2 linked regions of the Mytilus edulis genome follow. The protein of the gene in region 1 interacts with the protein of each later gene in a pairwise test. Links are inferred from orthologs where the notes say so. Each region holds a gene or a part of one and is shown in the gene's direction. Other genes may lie near its edges.

Region 1 (8,195 bases):
CGGGAAAATATTGTATTGACGGGTACGGGTCGTATGAATATATAATAGGGTCACACGTAGTGACCAATGGGTATACTTTCTGGTAGTAAAGCATAGGGTCACTTTCTAGGTGTCGTGCAACGAGTGAACACTCAACTTTAATTTTTGATGTACATGTATATACGTTGATTTTTTTTCTGCATTCAATTTGCCAGTACACACATGTTTGAGGTGTAGGTCAGAGCACCTGACCCTGGAGACGGGATTGCGCACTTGAGAATTTTGGTCGATTATATCGTTTTATCTCTAGTTGTTCCTGGCCGGCCTTGACCGTCTATGAAGGGGTGCATTTAGTCGGAAGTTTGGTTTTGGTGTATTTAGGATAATATGTACATTTGAATTGTATGATGTTTGAATATGCATTGTAATGGTATTAATGATGATATTAATATTTGTAAATATTTATAATACAATCTGGCGTCCATCGAGCATGACGGGCTGTCGGCAAACTAAGATTATGTTTGTGTTGTTTATATTTGCCACGAGTATGTAGTTATTACAGCAGTATTATACATGTACCGTTATTAAAACAGTTGCGAATATTAGACCTCCGCCACTGATTATCGTTAAATATCGAAATATACGTTTTGATCGGGGACAATATCGTTCATGATTTTTCTATATGGGTCATTTTCAAAAAATGTCGAATTTTCAGTACACCCATGCTAATTTTTTCATTTCTAATGGAAATTTCAGTTGTAATGGTTTAAATGAAAGCTTGTCGGATTTGTGATTCAGAACATTAATAATAAACACACCTTACATCTATTTTGATAAGATTAAACTGCATTTAAGACCAATTTTGGGGGTATTTGTCTGCGTACATTGTCAGAAAAACACATTTGAAATGATTTTTTTGCGATTTTCTGATCGCCTTGATATCTGCAAAAGGGACTTTTTAAGATCGTTAAATATTACTCTAACGAAAAATCGTAGCTTCTTTATCATTGTATGTAACATATTATCTACAAATTAAATTGAATCAGCGTACAGGAGGTTCATGTCTTTCCTGTTACCGCTACTTAAACCAGCCGTTAAATTATTCTCCCTATGAATATTGAATCAGTCAGTGTTGATCTCAAAAGTGCAAAGTAATCTTTACATTTAAAACGCCTCGTTTCTTGAACGAAATTGTAGAGAAAAGAAATTTCAAGACATTAAGTGAAAAAAATAGAGCGTACTTTTTTTCATGTCTATGCTGTTACCACCAATTTTGATTAATTACACCAACAGTATACTTGTAAAAAGTGCAATAACGTGCTGGAAACCAAATTCACAATGGAAAAACATAAATCACTTCACCAAAGGGAGTAATTATTTCACAACAGCAAACAAAAACAAAGAAATTTGTCTATCCTGTTACTATGGTTGCTATGGTTACAGTAACAGGATAGACAATTGTAGACAAAAACGTCGTTAATTTTTTTATCTTAATATATAGGTGCAAAACGAATGAAATATTTCGTTGTTTGAACTCATCTTAAGGTTATAACGTCTTAATATTCCCAATTAAGCATTCGCAAGTGCAATACTGTTATCGGTAACAGGATAGACAAAAAGGTAACAGGATAGACTTTTGTAAAGTGATATATCAGAAACGTACGTTCCTGTTACCATCGAAATAAAGAGAAAAGTAAACTAACTTATGAGGGATTAACTTGATGTTGGGTTTATTTGAAAGGGTGAAAAAATGCCGAACAATATAAATTGCTATCTTAAAATTGAGAATGGAAATGGGGAATGCGTCAAAGAGACAACAACCCGACCAAATAAAAAACAACAGCAGAGGGTCACCAACAGGTCTTCAATGTAGCGAGAAATTCCCGCACCTGGAGGCGTCCTTCAGCTGGCCCCTAAACAAATATATACTAGTCCAGTGATAATGAACGCCATACTAATTTCCAAATTGTACACAAGAAACTAAAATTAAAATAATACAAGACTAACAAAGGCCAGAGGCTCCTGACTTGGGACAGGCGCAAAAATGCGGCGGGGTTAAACATGTTTGTGAGAACTCAACCCTCCCCCTATACCTCTAACCAATGTAGAAAAGTAAACGCATATCTTAGACTTGCATTACTGGTGGTAATTTTTATTACCTTTGAAAACCATTTTTTAGAGGCATTTTTCAGTACAACCTGGAAAATTGGCAAATAATCTATTATATTACAGAATGAATATATATAGAAGTATTCTCTTTAAAACCATCTAATTGACTACGTAAAACAAGCTTAACATTTTATCTAAACCTTTTCTTAATAACCCAAAATTTCTTTTGAAAATGGTAACAGGATAGACAAAATAATGTACCACCGATCAAAAAATGTTTCAACATATTCTTTTATGACATCATTAAGATTGCATCTTTTAATATGTTGTTCTTAAAGTACTGTTTGTTTTGATTTGCTTATGTAGAGGGTTGCTTGAATAAGTAACTTTTAATAATTTTTTCAATTTCAAAATTCGACATTTTTTGAAAATGACCCATATACTATTGTTTATATTTACTTACTTACCTATATAAAATTTTGAAATCTATAATGTAAAACAGTGACTATACAACACTAGCTATACACACTTTAGATGAAGCATCGTTCATATCCCCATCTAAACAAGCAATGGTTTTTTTTTTATTCAGGAAAACAATTGTTGTTATAAAATTATTTTATTCTCCCGGGCGCTTTTTTCCCTTCCCCGGCGCTATTTTTCTTCCCCGGGCGCTTTTTTTTTGTTCCCTGGCGCTTTTTCGTCACCCGGGCGCTCACAGGCGCTTTTTAGTAGGACCGAAAAAACCGTGGTGATCGCAGCTCTGCAAGTGGCTACCGACGTGTTAAGTCTAATTCGGTGGGTCACATTCAAATGAGGTTGATAAATATCTTAAGCAAGAAAATAATATTCAATGATTTTATTCATCAGAAGTATAATAGTAGAATCACCAGTTTTGCCTCTCTTACATTATCAGATTATCTCAACTGTTTCAGCAAAGAAACGACAACACAAAATTCGCAAATTCTGAAGAGATTCGAAGACTCGTTATAGTAGGGTTATGTCCTTTCAAAGTTAACCGATGTCAATTGCTTTAAAAAATGTAGGATTGTCGATGTAGCAATCCTCCTATCTCCTATTTTACTGGATCTTACTGGTATAATACCTTTTTACGATCTTTTAAATTTCTATTAAACTTGTTAAATTCAGGTTCACCATGAATAATGTGAAGCCTCTTCAAACGAATTAACTAGTACAATTTTGAATGGTGTCATTGTTGTAAGGGTCGTTGAAAAATTGGACCAATCATATCTCGTCATTCATTTAAAAGTCAATCATTTGTAGAGGCTGCAGATTATTAATGCATAGAAAATTTACCTCTGATTTTTTTTATCAATTGATATTTTCGATGTACATGTTGCAGCGATCAACTGTGCTTTTTTTTATCCCCTTTATCCCATACTGCCTGAACAGAAAATTCAACATCATGGCTCAGAGAGAAAAAAGGCAAATCTACTTTTAAGAAAGAAAAATTACTTCACACATACAAAAACGCGTTATTACTTTAAAGAAAGAAAAAGTGTATACAGAACAACGACAAATGAACAGTATCTGCACTGTTTGTGTTGTATTTAGACTTCATGACTAAAATTTGCTGAACCATGTTGTCTCGTTGTCTTCGGCTTTCGTTATTGTCGATCTGTATTCATGGTGGTCCAACGTCAGCCTCTTCTTCGAGTACATTGAATGATATGCAATTAATTATTTCCTATCTTTAATTATTATATCGTATCGGCCAGCTACATTTTGCTAGAATTCCATTTAGACTTATTCGATGAAACAATGTTAGACTATGTGTATATATAGACAACGGTCCCTCATTTTCAATAATCTAAAGGTTTGTTCGATTGATTGAAACTGAATAAACCTCAAAAGACAAGTTTTAGTCCATAACCTCTATCGTCGTCATTTTTTGTTCTTCCAGGTTTAAAAAATTGCAGTTGTTTAATGTGTGTGAGTAATGCCGCGATTGATCCTGTCTTTGTGCTACTGACGAAGTTTATGTTTCTTTCTTAATAATTGACCGATCCGTCCTTAAACCAAGAAGATTTTGGTCAGGAGTAAACGTCTTCAAAATAATCTCGATTGCCAGTTTCTTCACTTGCTGTTCTACATATATAAAATTATGCGGCATTTTTTGTAAAAGACTGGTTATAAGGGTTGGATTGAACCACACTTTTACATTTCCTCCATGTATGTTTGTAACTTTCGATCTCAGTTTGTAAATTTATTCTGTAGTAATCCCAGTGTGAACAAGGTACCAAAGATGAATTATATTTTATTATTCTTATTTTTATTAAAGAAAGATATATGAAAAAGATATGGATCCTGTATGAATATTTTACTTTGAAATCAATTCTCTATTTATATCAAATCAAACATTAATATGTCACATTAATCAGTGCTTTATAGATATCTAATTAATGAAAAAATTTGTCCCAATTATCAGTGATTCATCGAAGACAATATACCAATTAAATTGCATAATTTACGCAAATTTCATGGTAAATTACCGGTTTTGAACTCGCAAAAATGCAATAAAACTGATGTATCTCTGTTCCTCAGTTCTATTTCTTTAGTCACTATAAATCATTCTTAAATTGAGATGAGGAAATGTGTTTCTTAATTAAAAAAAAAATGAACCCTCGTTTTATAAGACCGCGGCACCGGATCTTAATTTACCGGTAATTTTAGGGAAAAAAAGCATTGTTCAAAATTCGGAAAAACAATATAACAATAGATCAAGAAGAAAAACCTCTGCCATCCTATACAATGTTCACTTTTTTCCAACCAGAATACAAAAAACTTAATAACGACTTAAAATTATCATTTGAGTATTGGTCAAGTTAGACAGATCAACGTAGAAGCCAACGTAGAATGTAGAATTATGAAAAGATGTTAATATAATGCACTAGCTATCAGCAAAACACGATAACAGTCGACAGTAACGCAGTCGCTTTTGTTGATTTGAGTTATTCCCCCTTGTGTGTAATAATTTCCTGTCGACCACTTTACCGTTTTTATAATTTGATGCCGTTTTTATTCAAATTTCTTGTAGATTAAGAATTATCAACAACACATTAATTATTTTTTTTGTTTATGTTAAACAATTTCTCATTTTCAATAAAATCATACATATATATTACTGTTTCTATGAACGCGCATTAATTTGCCTCCTTGACAACAGATAAACTAACATCGGTCTGTGTTGGTTGCAAGTGTTGTAGTGGGGGAATAAACAGTTTACAACTTAGACTTCAGACGGTAAACTGACAACATGGCACTGCCATTTCTTCCAGGAAATTCTTTTAACAAAAATGTAAGTGACTAATATTGACTTATCGTCTAAGAAATACAATTATTGTAGATTTGAAAGGCTGCATTTCTGTACATCATCTGTTCATACATATACACATGTCATAAAACTAGTTGTTTTCTCACTTAAGTTGTTTTGATATGTTCACCTATGTGATCATTAGAAATAAACATATGCATTTGATGTGTAATCGTTTTGAACCAGAAAATTATGAGGTAGCATCGTCAAGACTGACAAGAGTCAAGACAGCAAGAGGTGTCTCAACAATTAAGATTTGGGGTGCTGAAGTTCATTGGCTGAACACCTCAACCTGCATATACAACTTTCAAATTCAAATATTTTCTGTACATTTAAGATGTCATGATGCTTATGTTAAGCTGTCATAGTAATATAAATAACATTTGTTTAAAAATTATATTTACATGTACATGTATGCTGATTATACTCAGATTCATAGATTACTGTATACATGTCGTGTACATCTACATGTATGTGCCAATAGACGACTTTCAAATTTCATTTTTTTAATGAGCTGCCCTGGACGAACAAGAGACGTTTGAGAAAAAATCTTTATCATATGACATTGTGTCGTGAAGGTGTTTGCTTTGCCAAATCTAAATTTTTTGTGAAAATGCATGTCCCATTATATATTTACTTCCAGTCCCAAGTAATAAAAAGATATACTAAACTTACCCTGAATGTAACTATTCCTAAAACCCAATTTAGAACAAAGCTAGTCCAAATAATTATAACATCTTGCAAGGCTATTTTAATATTTTTTTCTGGGACGCCTTGGTTCTAATGTCTAAACATTTTGTTTTATGTTTTATACATTTATATTTTAAACTGATTCCATTCAGGATATAAAGCATAGACAAAAGATGATGGATGTATTGGTAAGGGTAAAGTGAGACTAGATGATTAGAAAATGGAATGTTCACAAATATAAATATATATATTTCAGCAGCACTTAGCATGAAAACGCTATTTTTTAACATTAATGATTTGTGTAATAATTTCTTGATTTCTTTCAGATCAGACATAGAAAAAAATGTTAACTGCATTCTTGTTTATGATTTATTTATTAGATATACCATTTAGGATTAAAAACTTACAGAGAAGCAGCATGAACAGTGACAGCCGAATTTTTAGAGCTTTTCGCATGCAAAAACTAACAATAACAATTATATACGATGACAAATTATACATCATACATCGTACATGTATTGCATGTAACTACAAAATGTAGCTTCATAATACATAATTTCATTATTATATTTCAAACATGATAAAATGATTTTTTTTCTAATTTTAAACTTTTTTCTAATAAACAAAACCCATAAGTATGTCATCATTTATAAAAATTGGGCATTTTAAAATGGCAAACTATATGCTTGTCATTTTCTGTAAAGTGACAAGCCATTGTAAAAAATAAAAAAAGTGTTGTAGTCTCAGCATTGACCTTTTATCTCAACGCTGATTCTTTAACTGTTGAAATTTTGTTTAGATTAATAACCTGTTATCTCATTTATGGCTGTAGGCTAAGATTCAAACATGGCTATTGCACTTTGATTCTTCCAGTTTTATCGATGACTTGCATAATTTTTCAATTAATTAAAGAGTTTGATAGAAGTTTTTGAATTTTTCAGCTTGGTAAAACAAAATACCACTTGTCCCATCACTTTGATACTAAAAATGATGTGACTATGATGGTTGGGGAGGAGAGGCCAGGAATTGGTGGTGAACTCCTTAGGGGACAAAAGGTCAAACCAAGGAGCAGTGTGTTCCCAAGAGGAAATGGTTCCAATTTACCAGCCTGGGTAGCATTTGATAGACAGGTCATGTGCTTTGATGCTTTTTTCCAAGAAGCTGTGCATGAGAAGCGTGAAGAACAATTCAGAGTCAGAAACTGTAAAATTTACTTCTACCTTGAAGATGATTCTATCCAGGTCATTGAACCAAGAACAAAGAACAGTCAAATTCCACAAGGTAAACAAAATATAAAAAAAGGCTGTTTGTTTTTATTTATTTCTTAGATAATATTTCAAGACCAGAGAAAAATCTTAAAGAGAGAAGGAGGTAAACATACAAAATAAAACATTTTCAGCTTCACATGTACAATAATTAAAAAAAAGTTCTAATTCAACAGTGTGAATTTTTAGTGCTCAAAGTTCAAACCATAATGTATGTTACTTATTTTCAAAGGAACACTCATCCGAAGACACAGGGTACCCAAACCACCACCAAATGATGATGAATTCTACACCATAGAGGACTTTAACGTAGGAAAAGAAATTAGCCTCTATTCTAAAGTATTCAAAATCACGAATTGTGATGAATTTTCAAGGAATTTCCTGAGAAAACTTGGTGTAAAAGTGAATGTTCCAGATGAAAATCCAGCAGATCCATACACAAAGTACAGAAAATCTGTAAGTTTATACCACATGAAGATATTTACTCTTTTTTATCATATTCCTTTTTATGTGTTTATATACATGTAGTTACACATCCTTGATAAAATTTCACTTTTTTAACGATACAAGTGTATGAGGAATCCTGGTTCAGGTAATTCCAGAAACCCCTTAGTACGTAACAAATTTACGGACCGTTATTTTCAATTGTTTATACTGTTTTTTGCTGTTATTTTTTTTAAGGCCCTTACATGTACTATAGCTAGGAAGACATGTGTGTTTTAAGTTATTTATGTTATATTAAACTAGATTTAAAGGGTTTCATTACTGGCTTTTTAAGGTTAACATTTTTAAGCTGTGTTTTATTATTAATCATGATCTAA
Region 2 (8,439 bases), on another chromosome or scaffold:
CTAGTGCCCCTTTAAAAGTAACAAACTTAATAATATAACTAATTTCTATCTTTTACAAACTGCCAATTAAATATTCCATCACAATTTTCATCAAAATTACAAAAAAATATAAACATGTATTTTGACATCTAAACATATGCTTCAGATATAAAAAAAAATCATCATTTATAAAAAAAAATTTAAGATATTTAAGTCATTCAAATAAGTACAAAAGTCTATAAGCTAGTCCCATAATATAATTAAGTTACTCTCAAACCCACACTTGCAATGAAGGGAGTATCATATTGATGGTGTCTGTCCGTCTGTGCTTCCGTCTATCAACATTATTAACTCTTTCTTCAAACCAGTAAATGAAATGTCAGTCTTAAATGGTGTTTTGTATATACTTTTTTCAATTTTATGTGTCTATTATTGAGAGTGAGGTTAGACTAAAGGATTAGAGAGGAGCACGGAGGGGTGTAACACATTCAAGCTGTGCTTATAATGCATCTGGTTATCCATCATATTATTATGCTTTAAACAGAAGATTACTTTCATAGGGATTTCTTTTTCAACAAACAAAATGTAATAAAAACCATAAAACAAATATAATATATCTGAATTTTACTAATACTAATTCTGGCAAGGGTACATGTAGAAGTCAAGTACAGTCATTAATTTACTTGAGTTGTTACCTAGTTAATTTTCTGACTGACAAGCATTCAACAAATATTTTACTATTCAAATAAGTCATAGGGCTAGTGAAAAAATATCTAAAATCTTATCTACCCATAAAAAGGATTTTAATTTTAAATTACTTATCAGTAGTATTTCTTTGTATTAAAGTATTGGCCGTATAATTCATCAGGGGTGGAGAGACACACATACTATAAAACCTCATACTGGAAAAGTTAATGCTCCCCTACTATCTTTATAGAAAGGGCATCAAAATAATGTTGTTTCATGAATTAAAAATCAAAAGGAGCCTCTTGGTATTGTTTTGTTTTAAAATATAAATACCGTTGCTTCTGTCATTTCAAAGATTAACAATCATTAGACTGTAGACGGTAAGTGATTGATTATTTGACAGCATGGAAGTCTTTGGAATTTTTGCTAATCAGATCTTAATGCTTGTTATTTTCCTTCATACAATCTCAGGTGCTAAGTCTCATTTTTCTTTATTGATTTATCTACGTTTAGAAGACAGATTAAATCATTTATATTCTTGACTGCTGATAAAATCCTTTGTATATATGAAATACATTTATGTTAAAATTCCATTTCTACTGAGAGTAAAGCATTTAATTAAAAGGTTTATCAAGGTATCAGTGACAAGTTTGTTTGCTTGATTCCTGTCATACATATGTATCTTAGGATAGGGGGAGATAACCTCTGGACTGAAAACCTCTACCATACATATGTATCTTAGGTGGTGTGGAGGGGAATAACATCTACCTTGATACAGAATTAACTAGGGGGAGATAACCTCTAGGCATATAACCTCTATCATACATATGTATCTTAGGTAGCATGGAGGGGAATACCATCTACTATGACACAGAATCAACTAGGGGAGATAACCTCTGGACTGAAAACCTCTATCATACATATGAATCTTAGTTGGCATGGAGGGGAATAACATCTACTATGATACAGGATCAACTAGGGGGAGATAACCTCTGGACAGATGGTCCGAGTACACAGTTATTTCGTAGTGCATTTCTTTTAGACAATAAATGAAAATTAAAAAAATCCCACCTGCTCTTTCTCAATAATATTTTCACAGTGTGTTGTACTACTTTTGGGGCAAATTATATCAAAATTATAGAAAACTTCATCAGCTCTAACTCAAAATATGGACAATTTTATGTTAAGGGGGTCTTGAAATCTTTTGACAGCTTCTGAAGAGCTAATTTTTGACCTTTTTCAGCTGGACCTAATCACTACTTTACATTAATATTTTATGACCCAAATTTTTTTACAGTGTCATTTCACCCCCCAACTTGCTATATGAGGCATAAAACATGGAGAAATAAATTTGGAAGGGGTATAACAAAAATTGGCAAGTAACACACTGTCCACACTAAGGACTATATTCGTGGACAACGAAAATCAAAGGACGATAACTGTGTACTCGGACCAGATAACCTCTATCATACATATGTTTCTTAGGTGGCATGGTTTTGAATGATATACAATCACTGTCTATTGATGAGGTAAATAGTAGTTTAGCGACTTTTGAAAAACTGATATTCACTGAGGCCAATGGCCGAAGTGAATATCTTTTTTATTTTTAAATCAATTAAACCACATATTTACTCAAACAAAGGACAATAATTGTTTTATTTCATCTTCAGAGAGAAATTTATGTAATAGCAATTATTTACCAAAAACCAATTATACATCAAATGTTTTTTACCAAAGTTATGCACGTCAAAGCTTGTGACGTTTTGCGCGGTGAATTTCCTTTTTCAGCAGGTGAATAAGCTCATTTATTCAAAATCCCATTCTTAAAGAAAAACCTACTAAAATTCTATCAATAAGGAATAACATCTACTATGATCCAGAATCAACTAAGGGGAGATAACCTCCAGACAGATGAACTTGATCATACATAAGTATCTTAGGTGGCATGGAAGGATTAGATGAAGGGGAATAACATCTACCATGATACATAATCAACTAGGGGGAGATAACCTCTGAGAGGATAATCTCTATTGACATTTTGTCAGAGAATACATTTCCTTCATTTTTTATGTCCACAAATAAAGCAATATTTGTAACTGTTCAGTGTTTTTCAAGATGTTATCAAGATTTTAAATTTATTTCCTACCAGTAGAGTAAATAGGTAAAAAATTGACAAATATTTTAAAGGGTTACATTCCACATTCTACCAGTCTGTAGCTAAGAAAAAGGCCACCATTTTAAAAGTCAGATTTTTATTCTTCATACTGATGTTTACTTTCTGGCCCATGCCTGGTATATGTTTTCAAAATTATTATCTATTAAGAATTTAACATAAAGGGTATATTTACAAAATTATATAGTTTTCTATAATAAATATTTTGATACTAGTATGTCATATATTTCTATTATCAAATTTCCATCTTTCTTTGTTTCAAGATTATTTATTTTTACTTAAATTTTCTATATATATTTTTTTATTATTTTTTTTTCAATAGTATTGCTATAAATCATGCAGGCTGTTATTTTTCTATTTTGAATTGTTCTATCTTTATCATGCTATGCCTTTTATAGCCGACTATTCAGTATGGGTTTTTCTCATAGTTGAAGGTTGTATGGTTAACTATTATTGCTTACATCCACTTTATTTGGAACTCTGTTGGAGGATTGTAGTCTGATTGGCAGTTAAAACACATGTCCTTTATTTTTATATTGAAGAATGAATTGCAGGTCAAGGTGACTATTTGGTGGATAATGTTCTACTACACAAGCGTACTGTTATGGTTGAACAGTAATCAGAGAAATAGACTTTCAAAATTACATGCAACCAACTTCTGGACAGACACACCCTTGCCCTGTTAAAAATATTCAAGGAATAGTATTAGAAATTATTAAGAACTGTTTGCTCAGTCCACCTTAAAGAAGTTTGTTAATTGGTATTGATAGTTATATCAAAAATATTTGTTTAAAATTTGTTTTATAAAATTCTTTTTGGAACATCACATAATAAATTCATTATACAGTATTTGTGTTATAACTGATAGATTCATTGAAGAACCAAGTTTCACACATTTAGAAGTTATGTTACATTTGAAATTCAAGCGAACGATTGTCCTTTGGTATTTTTATCATTTAGAATATTCTAGTACCTGAAAGCTGTAGTTTGAACATTCTTTGTCTCCCTTTAAACTGTTTCCAGTTTCTTTTACTTTTGTTTTCATATAAGTTAAACCCTGTCATTATTTCCTGAAATAGAAACAAATTGTTGAACTAATTAAAGTAATACTAAAACTAAAATACTCTGTTGTTTGGTTTTCATGCTCCAAATTTTTATTTTTTATTTTTAATTTCTTCAAATTTTGGTGTTAATTATCTTGATCAGGCCACCCGACCCTTAACAGTTGTTGTATGTCACATCTTGTATTATGCTTTATGTAATGTGGAAAAGTAGGTATAAATTGCAGATCTTTTTGATTGTTACTGCATAATTTTCTGCATAATTTTTCACATTTTTTTTCAGCTTTAGTACAAGTTGAAATTGATTGTTTATCCTACATGGACAAAACTAGGCAGATTGTATAGACACTTGTCTATTGTTAAGAGTCTATGTGGTCCTCTATATGTCTCTTGTTAATTTTGTTGTTAGTTTGATGTCTCAACATATCTTTGTATTCATATTGAATGGAGAAGGCTTTGTGTGCGACATAAGTTATGTGTACTGTAATTCACAGTATCATATGTTCATATTAATCACAACATGTTATGATTATTTCATAGACATCTGACATAGAAGTAGTTGTTAGTTTGATGTTAGTGTTAACCTTCCTGGGTATTGTTCATATAAACAAAGTGTAACCCATTTAATTTAGTGATCATTAATGATAACATTTAATTTGCAAATCTGAGGACCCTGATTTTTTCAGGAAAAACTTCACAAATCTTTTAATACAGGTAACAGTGGCTGATCAAAAGGGGGGGGGGGGCATCCGCCACTGTGTAATACAATTAATAAATATTAATTTTACTTGAAATGTCTGAAAATGGGTTTCATTTAACTTGAGGTATATTGTCTCGGGAACATTTACCTCTCTTTTATAACAGGGTCGTAATTACATCTAGGCAAATGCCTCATGTACAATGTAGGAAATTTCAAAAACAAAAACTTGTCTTCAGACTTCACATCAAATTGCTTTCACTGTGAGTGACTTGCAAGATGCAGCCCCCTTTTTAGGGATTCATGTATCTCATTTTTTATTTAGTTTTCAGTGTTATTTGACAAAAACACATGAAATGAAAATTGCAAAAACAATTTGCACGTAAATATAAAGAAAAAAAGTACTAAAAGTACATGCATTCATTATTAATGGACATGAACACCCTATAGTCACCTTTTAGCACCCGCTAGAGGCATCTGAATATATATATAAAAAAATATAGTAATTTGATGGACTTAATTACATTATTATATAACATTTTATGTCATTTACAAGTATGCAAGTAACTTAACTTCTTTAGCAACATAAACTATAAAGATGACACTAAAACATGAAGTATACTATAGTGTTTAAAAAAAAATTGATATCTGAATATTTCTTGTGAAAAAGAGATAACGAAGATTTTAGAAAAAGGTCGTCACCAGAGGTCCTATCCTACAATGATACAGGACAAAATACAACAGACGACCTGACATCTGTCAGCATACTTAAGTCGCTTGTATCACTCAAGGTCGTTTAAAACAAATATTTTCATGATAGTTACAACCATTTTTTTTCTTATAACCTTTTCGAATTTGACTGTTAACTATTTTTATTATTAAGATGGTACTGATTTTTTAATGATATTTGTTGTACTTCAAAAAAAAAAAACAATATCCTTCGTTTTCAATGTTGTATGCGGTTTTGGAAGACATGTTGAAAAACAGTGGAAAGTTGTGAAATATTCTTTGAAAAACAACGTAAATAGTGAAGAGGCGACACTAAAGGTAAGATAAACACACTTGATAGCAAAAAGGACATCATATGTAACTATTGTGGAAATATAATTTAGCTTTTCAAATACAAAATTAAAAGGTAAAGTTCGCAACTGACTGTGACCTAGTTTCGTTTGTTTGGGTCCTTTGTTTACAAATTTCTACAGCTGATTTGATTTGTGGTCATCATCGTAAATAGCAAGATAATGATATTTTTTGTGTTTTCTTATTACATGTTAATCAATAGAAATACTTTGAGATTGATTGTACAGAATCAATATGTTCTAATATCACAGAAAAGTTGTGTTCCTGTTACAGAACCGTTACAATATGTGTTATTGTTACTGTTATTATACACTAAAGACGTTAACCAAGGCCAAACATTTATTTTATGTCGAATTTTTACAAAAATATGTTTTATTTATGTACTTAATTTATGTAATTAAGTTTCAGTGTATTAAAAGAACTGACAAATATGGTTGTCTTCACACCTCAAAAATTTACTTTGTACAATTGTAGACAAACCTCTCCTGTGCTTTTCATCTCCTGTGCATCTGAAAAGCACAGAAAGAAAAATACATAATTTGAGCAAAATGCTCCTAGGAGAAAATCTGCACTTGGCGTTTGAGTATAGTCAAATCCCCATCATGAGTTAGACATCCTTGTTGGTTAACAATGCTTGCATTTTGTCTTAAATTCTTTGAGCCTTGAAAAATTAACATCTACAAAAAATTTAATGTATCATGTCTATGTACACTTGTGATTTCTACAAAGTAAACTGCATGTAATGAGTAATTTGCTTGATCCAGAGCTCTGTTATTTGTGTACTACCAGGTAATACAAGTTTTCCTGTCACTGCAACAATTCAGCATTTCAGGATGATAATATGTCAAGAACAGTTGGATGTTAATAACATGCTCTATACAAGACTCACTTCTGATACTGAATGAAAACAATAGAAAGTCACAATATTCATTATAATCACCATGATCCATTTTGCATTTTATTTTTTCACAGGTTAAAATGTGTACTGGTTTTGTTGGAAGTATAGTGTCTTTGGACTGTGGTGAGACCCTGGGTACTTACCAAGGTCTGGTGTCTAAGATTGATGAATCAACACAGATGGTTTCAATCACTCAGGCCTACAGAAATGGTGTAAAGTGTGATGTACAAGGCATTACAATCAGGTAAGAATATATAAAATAGAAATACTGGAGGCAAAATTAACCAGGTTTTCAATTTTGTCATTAATCATGATATTATTTAATGTTTTAACTCATCTGCATTGTAATGTTTTAACAAATTAACATGCTTAATCTGAATCATGAAATTTTGCAAATTCAAAAAAGATTTACAAATAAACATATTTGACAGAACTGTGTTGAAATTTGAAGCTTATATGACTTTTTATTAAAGTGTTTAAAGAAAATATTCTAAAAGAAAGTACATTTATCATGTTTATAAGGCAAATTGATGAACAATACTTTATTTTAAGAGGGTTACACAGTTACATGTAGCTATATAACTAATCTTCCCTGAGGCCCTCATCATGAGAAATCAAACAAAATGCAAAAACATATACAATGCATACAGTAGTATAAAAAGTCAAGTATGATAATAATCTTCAATACAACTTGATAAAATGTGATGAAAAAATAAACATGATGACAGTTTTCAATATTATTGATACAGCTAGATTGATTTCAATAAATGATCTGTTATTTTGTATTTGAAAGAAATATTTCTTAACGTAATTGGCAAATTATTCCACAAGAATGGTCCAGAATACATAACAGATTTTTTGAACAATTCTGTTTTTGGTTTAATAGGGAGTATGAGGTTTCCTTGAAAGCATTTCTCAAGGGGTATGGATTTCTGTCTGAAACATGATATCCTTCACACTAGAAGAAACTTTGATGGTAGGTTATCAGTGGAAAAGAGTGCAAAACCTGACAAAATGTTGCCTCTTTCTGAGATTTTTTCATATTTAAGGCCACGGTTTTTTAATTTGTTGGTTTACAGATTTTTCTCATAAAAAAGTCGGGTCGGTCGGTCGGAAAGAAAAAGAAAAAAAAATATCTTTCAAAACAGAAAAATATGCAAAATAAATATATATTTCACCTTACTTAACAAAATGTTTGTCTTTTTGCTGTTTTGTAATCATTTCTTAACATTTCGTTCTATGAAATATTATTGATCAGTGATCATGAACATCGCAGGACATCGTGTAATAACTTCCTGTAAAAAAGAGGGGTTGCACGGACAAAGACGAAATTAAATCGTCATTTCACAAACAAGAAAAACAGATTCCCGTAGCTCTCAATCAATTCCAGAAAACTTGGTAAATAATGATCTTCAGTTACAAAAACTGATAAAGAAAAAAAAATGTAAAAACGTCGTACAAAAATAAGTTTCAACACACGTGTCGAAAAACGTAATAGACTCGTCCACTGGAAAAACGACAATATCGGGTTAATCAGTTGTCATGCAATCCGGTTTTTATCCCAATGATTGATAATATGAAACAAGAAAATTTCAAATGATTTGTTAATATTCAGTACTTTAATTGATGTTATTCCACCTGTCAACATTTGGACAAGTCTATTTCTCTGAGATGATGCATCTTACGGACTGATGACAAATAAGGGAAAGGAACTTATTTTTGTAATAGGTTTTCAACACAGGTTTCGTTCCGCAAAATTATTTGCGCAAAAGACATTTCAAGGTCAGTTATAATTGATTTGTCTATTTTTAGAAACGTAAATTGGAAGTTTTATTTTTCACAACAGAAAGTGTTATCAACTTTG

Evidence for each region. The genes of interacting proteins can lie anywhere in the genome.
Region 2: the proteins of EF-hand domain-containing family member C2-like (region 1) and enhancer of mRNA-decapping protein 3-like interact in binary tests that used the Homo sapiens proteins (3 or more experiments, as listed by UniProt). The link is inferred for Mytilus edulis from reciprocal best matches to the Homo sapiens genes EFHC2 and EDC3.

What each region holds. Positions count from the first base shown.
Region 1 is NC_092346.1:46,850,934-46,859,128, reverse strand, and holds the start of EF-hand domain-containing family member C2-like, read left to right. Parts: upstream 1-5,060; 5' UTR 5,061-5,362; coding exon 5,363-5,404; intron 5,405-7,050; coding exon 7,051-7,390; intron 7,391-7,606; coding exon 7,607-7,830; intron 7,831-8,195. UniProt on the Homo sapiens protein: Microtubule inner protein (MIP) part of the dynein-decorated doublet microtubules (DMTs) in cilia axoneme, which is required for motile cilia beating.
Region 2 is NC_092347.1:25,327,175-25,335,613, reverse strand, and holds the start of enhancer of mRNA-decapping protein 3-like, read left to right. Parts: upstream 1-5,396; 5' UTR 5,397-5,497; coding exon 5,498-5,644; intron 5,645-6,649; coding exon 6,650-6,819; intron 6,820-8,439. UniProt on the Homo sapiens protein: Binds single-stranded RNA. Involved in the process of mRNA degradation and in the positive regulation of mRNA decapping. May play a role in spermiogenesis and oogenesis.